2 linked regions of the Danio rerio genome follow. The protein of the gene in region 2 purifies or fractionates together with the protein of the main gene of each other region. This does not show direct contact. Links are inferred from orthologs where the notes say so. Each region holds a gene or a part of one and is shown on either strand. Other genes may lie near its edges.

Evidence for each region. Proteins that work in one complex are often made in the same cells at the same time.
Region 1: the proteins of cmtr1 (region 2) and dhx15 purify together in Homo sapiens (co-immunoprecipitation; 3 studies listed by BioGRID and IntAct, with this or other methods). This does not show direct contact. The link is inferred for Danio rerio from reciprocal best matches to the Homo sapiens genes CMTR1 and DHX15.

What each region holds. Positions count from the first base shown.
Region 1 is NC_133182.1:76,857,835-76,863,759, forward strand, and holds part of dhx15 (ATP-dependent RNA helicase DHX15), read right to left. Parts: exon of another isoform or gene 5,518-5,925; coding exon 5,395-5,517; intron 3,522-5,394; coding exon 3,331-3,521; intron 755-3,330; coding exon 585-754; intron 1-584.
Region 2 is NC_133198.1:38,481,339-38,485,930, reverse strand, and holds part of cmtr1 (cap-specific mRNA (nucleoside-2'-O-)-methyltransferase 1), read left to right. Parts: intron 1-609; coding exon 610-678; intron 679-890; coding exon 891-938; intron 939-2,569; coding exon 2,570-2,682; intron 2,683-2,773; coding exon 2,774-2,882; intron 2,883-3,959; coding exon 3,960-4,095; 3' UTR 4,096-4,592. UniProt on the Homo sapiens protein: S-adenosyl-L-methionine-dependent methyltransferase that mediates mRNA cap1 2'-O-ribose methylation to the 5'-cap structure of mRNAs.

The sequences.
Region 1 (5,925 bases), on a different chromosome or scaffold from region 2:
CACCTCCTGAAGCAGTTTAAGCAATCAGATATACAGCTGAAGTCAAAATCATTCCGTTTCAAATATTTCCCAAATGATGTTTAAGAGAGCAAGGAATTTTTCCACAGTATTTCCTATAATATTTTTTCTTCTAGAGCAAGTCTTATTTGTTAATTTTTTTAAAACCAGTTTAAGGTCAATAATATTAGCCCCCTTATTAATGTTTATATATTAAACATATGTGTTAAACATAAACATATTAAACATGAACAATATTTGTTTTCTACTGTCTACAGAACAAATCACTGTTATACAATGACTTGACTAATTACCCTAATTTGCCTAATTCACCAAGTTAAGCCTTTAAATGTTACTTTAAGCTGAATATTAATATGTTGAAAAATATCTAGTTAAATATTATGCAGTGTCATCATGGCAAAGATAAAATAAATCAGCTATTATAAATAATATACAGGAGGGTTAACACTGTACATCCCTTCGGAGGGCATTTATACCTTTTTTTTAATGCATGAAGCGACCAGGTGTAAACAGCCCGTTGCAAAAACAACGCATTAATCAACACATTTGCATGCGTTTGAGCTTACCATTCGGGCTTTATATCAGTGCAGGTGCGGATGTAGTTCTTGGTGGTCAGCACAAACTCGTTGTAAAGCACCCACTCGGGCTTGTGGTCCAGAACGGTGGACGGGTGCAACTGGACCACCTGGTTGTCCTTCACTGTGAGATAGTGGCCGGTGCGCTCCAGGTGAGCAACCTGATAACACAAGACACGCAAATGAACAAATAAATCAACCAAACTCTGGTGTTACTTCAGGCGGTGTGAGGATGTGGAGATTAACCCATGCAATCAGTCTCAATAAACGGCCCACTCAAACAGACGTCGGCAACAGAACGCTGGGTAATTCTTACAACCATGGTGCAAATTTGTCTCAGCGAAGGTTAATGTTGACAAATATTTCAATATTAAAGGAGTAATTCAACTAGTCAGGTCGCTTGTTTCAGGCCTTCGATAAAAGCGCCGTTTATTTTTCGACAAGCGTGGGATGGAAATTGCCTTGATTTCTTGTATGCGATTAAATGGTCACACTTTGACAGAAAGCTGTGCATTACATTATCAAGCTTGAGTGATTCTGGATTGCCAACAGACAAGGATTTTAATTCAGACAGAAGGCAGAAATCAAGGTTAAAACTAGATGTACTGACTTTTAAGCTTTTAAGCAACAGGATCAACTCAATGCATGGCTATAATGACTTTTATTCTGTTATCTTCAGTTCAGTCCAATACCTAACTGTAGATTTAAGTTGTTACTAGGGCTGCACAATATATTATTGTGAAAATTATTGTTATCGCGATAAAACGCATGTGCAATATATGCATCGCACACACGTGTTATAAATCACATTTGTTTTATGCATTGGTTATCTAAATTTGACCAATCAGATGGGGCCTTACTATCTTTATCCCCGCCTCTCCAGTAGTTACTGTTCTGCTATTGGGTGGAGTTGCCCAAATGTGAACACAAAGCTGAAAATAAACACTTATGGGTGGCGTCAAGACGAGACAGGAAAACAACAACAGCCAATCAGAGGTTTTTACTCATTTATGGTGTTTTAAAGACACATAAATGCTTCCACCTTGACACCATTTTTTAAGTCCGAATTAAAATAATTTTTAAAAATATCTTCAAACTGTTTATTTTTATATTATTTAATAAATAAATGATTTAAAAAGCATCTAATAAAAATAGCATTTTTGTTGGAAAATGTTTTATCGTAAGAAATTATCGCTACTCTCAACAATAAATTACATACTTTTTCAATATGAAAAGTCAATTTCCTATTAGGTTTACACAACAACAGGTTTTCATATGTATTTTTAATCATTTTTATTTTTTTTGTTTTTATATTACTTTTATTACTTTTATTATTATTATCATTATTATTAATATTATTAATATTATTATTATATTTTGATGTTTTATATATTATTTTATGACTCTTATTGTTATTATTATTTGAATCACTATTTATTATTACAATATTGTTATTTTTATATACATAACTTTAATGATGATTATTTTAAAAATTAGCATTTATTATTATTATTAATATTATTATTATTATTATATTTTTGCTATTTTTATATATTACTTTTAAAATGATGAAGATGATTATTTAAATTATTTACATTATTTATTATTACCATTATATTTTAAAAAATTTTATATATTACTTTTATGATGATTATTAATATTAAATTATTTGCTAAATTTAGCATTATAATTTTTTGTTGTGTTTTTATGTTACTTTTATTATTAAAATGAATTGCATTATTATTATTTCTTCGTTTTTGATATATTACTTATGATGATGATTATTATTATTACTATTAAAATTATTAAATTGTGTTGTGCTTTTTTGAATTACTTTTATGAATATTGTTATTATTACTTAAATTATTAGCATTTTTACTATTATTATTATTATTATTATTATTATTATTATTATATGTTTGTTATTTTTATATATTAATTTTATGATGATGATGATTATTATACTTATTTTTTAAATAATTTGCATTATTATTACTATTATATTTAAATTATTTGCTTTATTATTATATTTTTTACTTTTTTAATACTTCTATGATTAATTATTTTAATTTGAATTGTTTGCATTATTATTATTACTAGTATTATTTAAATTATTTGTATTATTATTATTATTATTATTATTAATATTTAAATTATTTGCATTATTATTATTATCATTTAAATTTGCATTATTATTATTATTTAAATAGTTTGCATTATTATTTTTTTTAATTATTATATTTAGTTGTGTTTGTTATATATTACTTTTATGATGGATGATTATTAAAACTATTTGCATTTATATATTGTTATTTTTTAAATATTACTTTTATGATTATTATTATTTAAATTACTTGCTATTATTAATTATTATTAATATATTTGTATTGTTTTTTATATATTTCATTATTATTATTATTATTATTATTATTATTATTATTAAAGTTTTACTGCCACTACATTATTTTGACGGTTTTATCTGTTGTTTTTGGTGCAAAAGTTTAAAAGAAAATGTGGAAAGGCCTTTTGTAAGCTGCCATTTCTATCATATATGTACTTTTCGCTAAATATAAAAAAAATAAATCTAACCAAATAAATCTCTGATGGGAGACTTTAACCTTTGTATTTGTGGTGATCTACATCCACAAACTGCTGCATTACTCACAGAAGAAAAGCGAAAACAATACAAAGCAAAAAGCAACTAAATATATTATTAAGTTCTGGCATATTTACAGACCTGCATGAAGAAGCCGGTGACCAGAGCGCGGCGGATGTTGATGTAATAGTCTCGGCTGGTGAACTCTGTGCTGCGTCGGGGTAAGTTGAACCGGTCCATGATCCGAGAAAGCTGCTGCCGCACATTATCAGCCGACATCAGCGAGCGGTAGTTGATGAAGTTATCGTAGCACCATTGCACCGACTCGTGGTCTTAAAACAGAACGGTTTACACATTAGAAACAGGTTACTGTGCACTTTCTGTTTGTTTTAAGTCAAACTCTCAGATTACATCTGTCTGACGTATTGAGTGTGGCTAACATATAGATATAGGTAGAGAGACAGAGACGAGACAGATGGATGGAGATTTAGATGGGTGGATAGGGATAGAAATAGGGATGGATAGATGTACAGGGATAGTGATAGAGATGGGTGGATAAGGACAGAAATAGGGATGGATGGATGGATGGATGGATGTACAGGGATGTGAATGGATGGATGTACAGGGATATGGATGGATGGATGTACAGGGATATGGATGGATGGATGGATGGATGGATGGATGGATGGATGGATGGATGGATGGATAAGGATAGAAATAGGGATGGATGGATGGATGGATGTACAGGGATGTGAATGGATGGATGTACAGGGATATGGATGGATGGATGGATGGATGGATGGATGGATGGATGGATGGATGGATGGATGGATGAGGATAGAAATAGGGATGGATGGATGGATGGACAAGGGTCAGGGTAGAGATATGGATAGATGGATAGGGATTTGGATGATAGATAGGGTTAGGATATAAATGGATGGATAGGAATATGGATGGATAGGAATAGGGATAGGGATATGGATGGATAGAGATATGGATGAATGGATAGGGATGGAAATAACGATGGATGGATAGGGATAAATATAGGGATGGATGGACTGATAAGGACAGATAGAGATGGATGTATAGGGATAGAAATAAAGATGGACAGGGATAAAGATAGGGATGAATGGATGGATAGATAGATAGATAGATAGATAGATAGATAGATAGATAGATAGATAGATAGATAGATAGATAGATAGATAGATAGATAGATAGATAGATAGATAGATAGATAGATAGATAGATAGATAGATAGATAGATAGATAGATAGATAGATAGATAGATAGATAGATAGATAGATAGGGATAGATGGATTGATATAGAGATGGGGATGAATACCTGGATGAATGGGGAAATGAATAGGGATGATGGATGAATGGATGAAAGAGATGAGGATAGATGGATAGGGATAGAGATGGGGATGGACAAAGATAGAGATGGAGATAAATGGATGGATAGATTGGGATAGAGATGGGGATGGATGGGGATATGGATAGACAGATGGAGATAGAGATATAGATGGATGGTCGGATAAACTTTGTTCTAAGATTAATTATCTGTAACACTGCTAATTAAAATCATTCTGAAGCTTAAATTCATTACTGTACTGACAAATTAAACTGAAATTTGCAGCTTCACATCAACATCAAGAAACTCCAATGCCTGTTATCTTGCTCCATCTAAGCAATGGCTACTGTAAAAGACTGAGTGAAATGAGAGAATCCCCATGGGATTTTGAGAGAAAATATGCATGCTGAAGTGAGGGATGAGCCACACTCCAGTCTTTCTGAACAGTTTTAATAGCGCACTGCCTCGCAGGCACTCAATCTGATGAAACAAATCATGATTTTGGCCACCTACAAAAACAACCTGAAATTAGTTGTAATATATGTAGGCAATTAGGCTAATTAAAAATGGGGGAAGGAATCATGTCACATGGGCTCAAGCTGCAAGTGTGTGTGTGTGTGTGTGTGTGTGTGTGTGTGTGTGTGTGTGTGTGTGTGTGTGTGTGTGTGTGTGTGTGTGTGTGTGTGTGTGTGTGTGTGTGTGTGTGTGTTTTTGCAACACATCAGGACACAAATGTGTAAAATGACATGGGTATTACAATTAGATGGTGAATTATGAGAACATTGACTGTCCCCATAAATCACAAAAAAATCAAATGCATGTGTGAGTGTGTGTGTGTCGTATATACATACTCTGTTTGAAGGCGTGGTAGACGTTGAGCAAGGTCAGGTGGTCCCCGTCGATGTGGGCGAACCTCATTTTGGACTCATCAGCAGCCTTCTTAGCTTCGGTGGGACGCACAAAGCACTGTGGGACTAAACAAGGTTGGTATGGGCCCCAACATAGCCGCCCATAGGGATGAGTCAAGCGTTCACCCAGACAGGACACAAGGCCTAGTTCTGAGGCTAGAGCACGGCACAGGGTACGGTACGCTACACCAAACGCACGGGGCGGGGGGGAGAGATGCTGCTCTGCTTTTCATTTGCCTTTCTGCAAGAAAGAGATGGCGGCTGTGGAAATGATGCTAAATCTGCGGTTTGGTAATCTTCCCGTGGGATGAGGTCACTTGAGTCAGTCGCGCTTTAATGATGGTATTTGTGTTTGTTTAAAACCCATGCAGGCTACACATAACGTTTACAATTAATTATTTAAAATTTACATAAGCCCATTTATTTGGACTAGGGTTGCCAATACTGGAATTCATTACTAATTGATACTGAAAT
Region 2 (4,592 bases):
ATAGTAACGAGGAGGTCTCTGTTAGGTTGTAATAACTCTCCCCAAACCCTTTTCCCCATCTTTCTGAATTATATTTCTTTTAAACTATATTCCTTTTCTATTGAACAAGACTTCTTTATATATATATATATATATATATATATATATATATATATATATATATATATATATATATATATATATATATATATAAAAATAATACCGTAACGTTAAGCGCCACCTGCTGGATTAGTATTTTTATTCAGCTTATAAAAATGTTTTAGTTTGGATTAGTTTCTTGCAATCAGTATTTACTAAATATACTGTAAGTAAAAATGTTGTCGATGTGACCGGTTGCAACCTGAAGTGGCGATGAGGTTTAAAATATATGGAAAGAATCTTTAAGGGTATTGAATTTTTTCTGTATATAGCCTGTTCTCTGATGATGTCATTGTACAAAATATGCTTAGTCACGCCCCTAAAACAATTAATTTGCTAAGATAGTTGTATATACATCATCCTGAAATAAAAGTCTGCAGCAACTTCTCGTTCACAGTGACAATAAATGTGCCCGCAGGAAGAGTCCTTAAATTAATTTTAATGCTACTAGTGTGTTTGTTGTTGTTGCAGAATCCAGATGGTGGAGAAGTTTGTGAAAGCCGTGTCCAAACCCAGCAGGCCCGACATGAACCCGATCCGGTAAAATTTTTTTCTCTCCGTGGTCGTTTTTAATTGGCATGTCAGTGACGGATGATCTGTGAACACCGGAGGGAGCTGTATGTAAAATGGATGAAGATACAGTGTTTTACTAGAGCCTAGACAGGAGCTTTCATGTTTCGGGTGATATTATAATACAATGCGCTTGTTGTTTCTGCTTCATCCATTCACAGTCTTTCTCTTTCATTTATTAGAGTGAAGGAAGTCTATAGGTTGGAGGAGATGGAGAAAATCTTTGTGAGGTGCGTTCAATTATGTCAACCACATGCATGCATGCAGATTTTTTTGTTATTTTTTTGTTTGATTTATTTTGAATATAATTTTAAATGAAGTAAAACATGTTTTACTAATTAATTTTTTATAATGCATTTTATTTGAAAAAATTAAGCAATATAAAATATGTATTTGTACGTTTTTTTCCCGTATTTTAAATATTTCAAGTGAAATTTTAAACATAATAAAATTAAGATATGCATTCATTAAATTTATATTAAAATGAAATCGAATATTGTAAACGTGGAATATTTATTTTTAAATATAAACTAAACTGAATAAAACAAAATGTTATTTTATGTTATCATTCTTCAAGTAACTCAGTTTTCATGTTTAGCCTTTTAATTTTTCGTTCTGAAAATATTTTATTTTAAAAGTAACATATTTTAATTCTAAAATACAATAATTTTTTGTATTATTTTAATGTAAAAACTAAAATATTTAATTTATTAATTTTTCTCTATTTTGTTTTTATTGAAGATATTTTAAGTAAAATTAATTAAATGTTTTAATTTATATTTTCACATTTTAAATTAAAAAAAGAAAGTAAATTCTAAAATAAATTGTTTTAAAAGTTATTTACATTCTTTTTTTCTCAATATCATATAACTTGTTTAATAAACGCTGTCTTTTTAAAACAAATATAAAATAAAACCATGGCAAAATAATTCACTATTAAAATGACTTTTAATTAAAATATATACAAAAAATATTTTTACGAAATTCTGAGAATACTTTTTAAATGAAATCAAAATATAACGTGTATGATATAGATTTTTAAATTATTTACTTTTCATTGTGACTCATGATTTTTAAACAACAAGAAATATGAAATAAAATCAATTCAATTTACTTTTATTTGTGTAGCGCTTTTACAATGTAGATTGTGTCAAATTCAGCTTCACATCATTACAAAACATGTCAAAACAAATCTATTATAAAATGATTTTTGATTAAATTTCAAAGGAACAAAATAATGCATAATTTAAATAAAAGCAAGACTATTTTTTATTATATTAGTGTAAAAGCTAAAATATGTTATTTCTATTTTGTTATTTATTATATTTTGAGTTAAATTAAAGCATAAAGCATTCTATTTAATATTTTACATTTTAAATGAAATAAAAATCATTTACATTGCTTATAAATTTTTTCTCTATTTTGTTTTTATTGATTATATTTTAAGTTAAACTAATTAAATGTTTTAATTTATATTTATACATTTTAAATTTAAAAAAGGAAATAAATTATAAAATAAATTGTTTTAAAAGTTATTTACATTCTTTTTTTTCTCAATGTCAGATAATTTGTTTAATACACGCTGTCATTTTAAAACAAAAATGAAATAAAATAATGGCAAAATTAGGTAATACAATTATTTGTAATTATTATCTTGCTTTTATTATATTCTTTGTTTTTATTCGAAATGAATGAAAATACCATATAACATACAATAAATATATTTGTTATTTCTTTAATTTATCATAAATAATTTATATTTACATGCAAAATGTTATTTATATTAATTAACATGAAATGAAAGAAAAACTATTTTTATTTTCAAAAGTGCGCTCTTTTTTTTTGTTTTCTTTTCTCTCAGGTTGGAAATGAAGATAACCAAAAGTTCAGGAGGGATGCCGAGACTATCGTACACAGGCAGAGATGATCGTCATTTCCTCCCGACCGGCCTTTACATCATCAAAACAGTGAATGGTGAGGGCAAACAGCTTCATATCAATGCAGTGCCATGCTAAATTTGAATTTGCATTGATAATAATGATTATTATTTGTCTTTTTTTGACAGACCCATGGACAATGGCTTTCAGCAAAAGTTCTAAAAGAAAGTTTTTCTACAACAAGCAGACCAAAGAATCCACTTACGATCTGCCAGCCACTTCTGTGGCACCTTTCCAGTAAGTATTAAAGTAATCCGGCATGACTGGCACTACATTTTGGATTGAAGCCCTGAACATTAAATTACATTACAAACAAGATATTGCACAACTATTTCTGGCCTTAGCCTTCAGAATAAAAGAGCTTTTTTTTAAATCCACAACATCCTCTTTTTTCATATATTTATTATAAATTGAGTTTTTATTTGAGATTCTGTTTGGTTATTGCTGAGTAGTTTTGTTTAAAGACTTTTCTGGGCTTAAAATGATTGACTAAAATGGAGAATCATTTTGAACTCTGTTCTAAAAACAAGCAAGGCCTTTCAAATGACATGCACAGCTTATTCACAGGTTTGCGCTGACTGTGGGCTATATTGTGTGTGTTTTTGCACTCATATAAGTACTAAATGTATGATGTGTATAGTTTTTCTGTAATTAATAATATATCGGAGACCGTTAGGGTCTCTATGTGTTCATTTATGTTGCATTTATATATTTATTTTATATAATTGCAGACGTTACAGTAGGCTATTTTGCACTGTCATTGATCTGCAGTTATAATCATATCCTGTTCATAGAAAAGTTAGTAATAAACATTTATAAACAAGTATTTGTCTATAAAGCATCTGTTTTGTAAGAAGTGCTGCTCATGTTATATGTAAGCGACCCGTACAGCTTTACTGTAGACATTTATTCGAGCGAGCATGACGTCGACTGAAACTTTCTGTCATATACCACGCCCACCAAAAGGCTACCCTTGGTAGTGGAAATGCAAGCCTGATAAAGGTGACCCGTACCGACCCGAACTGTACCGTACTGTACCAGTCAGTGGAAACGAGCCATAACATCATGTTTTGTTTTATGAATGTGTTTTTGTTTTTACGGTGTGTTCAATACTAATTTCCCCTACTGTGTATATATATATATATATATATATATATATATATATATATATATATATATATATATATATATATATATAAAAGAATTATAATTACATTCATATAAACCCTGCATTCTTTCTTTATTTTGACAATATTTTAGTGTTTTTCGGGCAATGCTTTGACAGTTTGTTCTCTCTGTTCTTTTGCTCCTCAGCGTGTGTCATCAAGACAGGCTGTTTTGGGCTTGGGAGGAAGGCGTCCGAGTTCACGACTCCCAGACGAGGATCAACCCCGACAAGCTCTCCAAAGATGATGTGGTTTCCTTCATCCATAAGCACTATCAACAATAACCACAGACATGCACACACAAAGTAACAGACTGTTCATTCTCCTGTCCACCAGGAGGCGCTGTAGCTTTCAAAACAGTCCAGCGTTCTGCTCAGTTTCTTCAAACTTCAGGGCTTCAGAAATAGACAGCAGTGTGTATCTGCATGTGTCTGGCATTTCTAGAGGAGAAACTTACATCATACTGCTTTTCGCTTGTTGGTGTGTTTTTCTCCTGAACTACAACCCCCCTCCACCCCACGCCCCTGATTCCTCGTATGAATTATTCCTCTGCTAAACCGTTCGATTTTTAGATCCATCCCGTCAGTGCGATAAACGCGTTTAACAAAAGCGCATGACGGTTAGCATTGGCTCTACTGTGTTGCATGTGTCGCCTTGCGCTCTTCATTTTGGTTTGTATTTCTTTTTTCAGTGTTTACAAATATTAGACTGACTGTTCTGAGGGGAAAACATGTCGATTTTAAGACTATTCGTGATCATGGTTGTATTAAAATCATGGAGG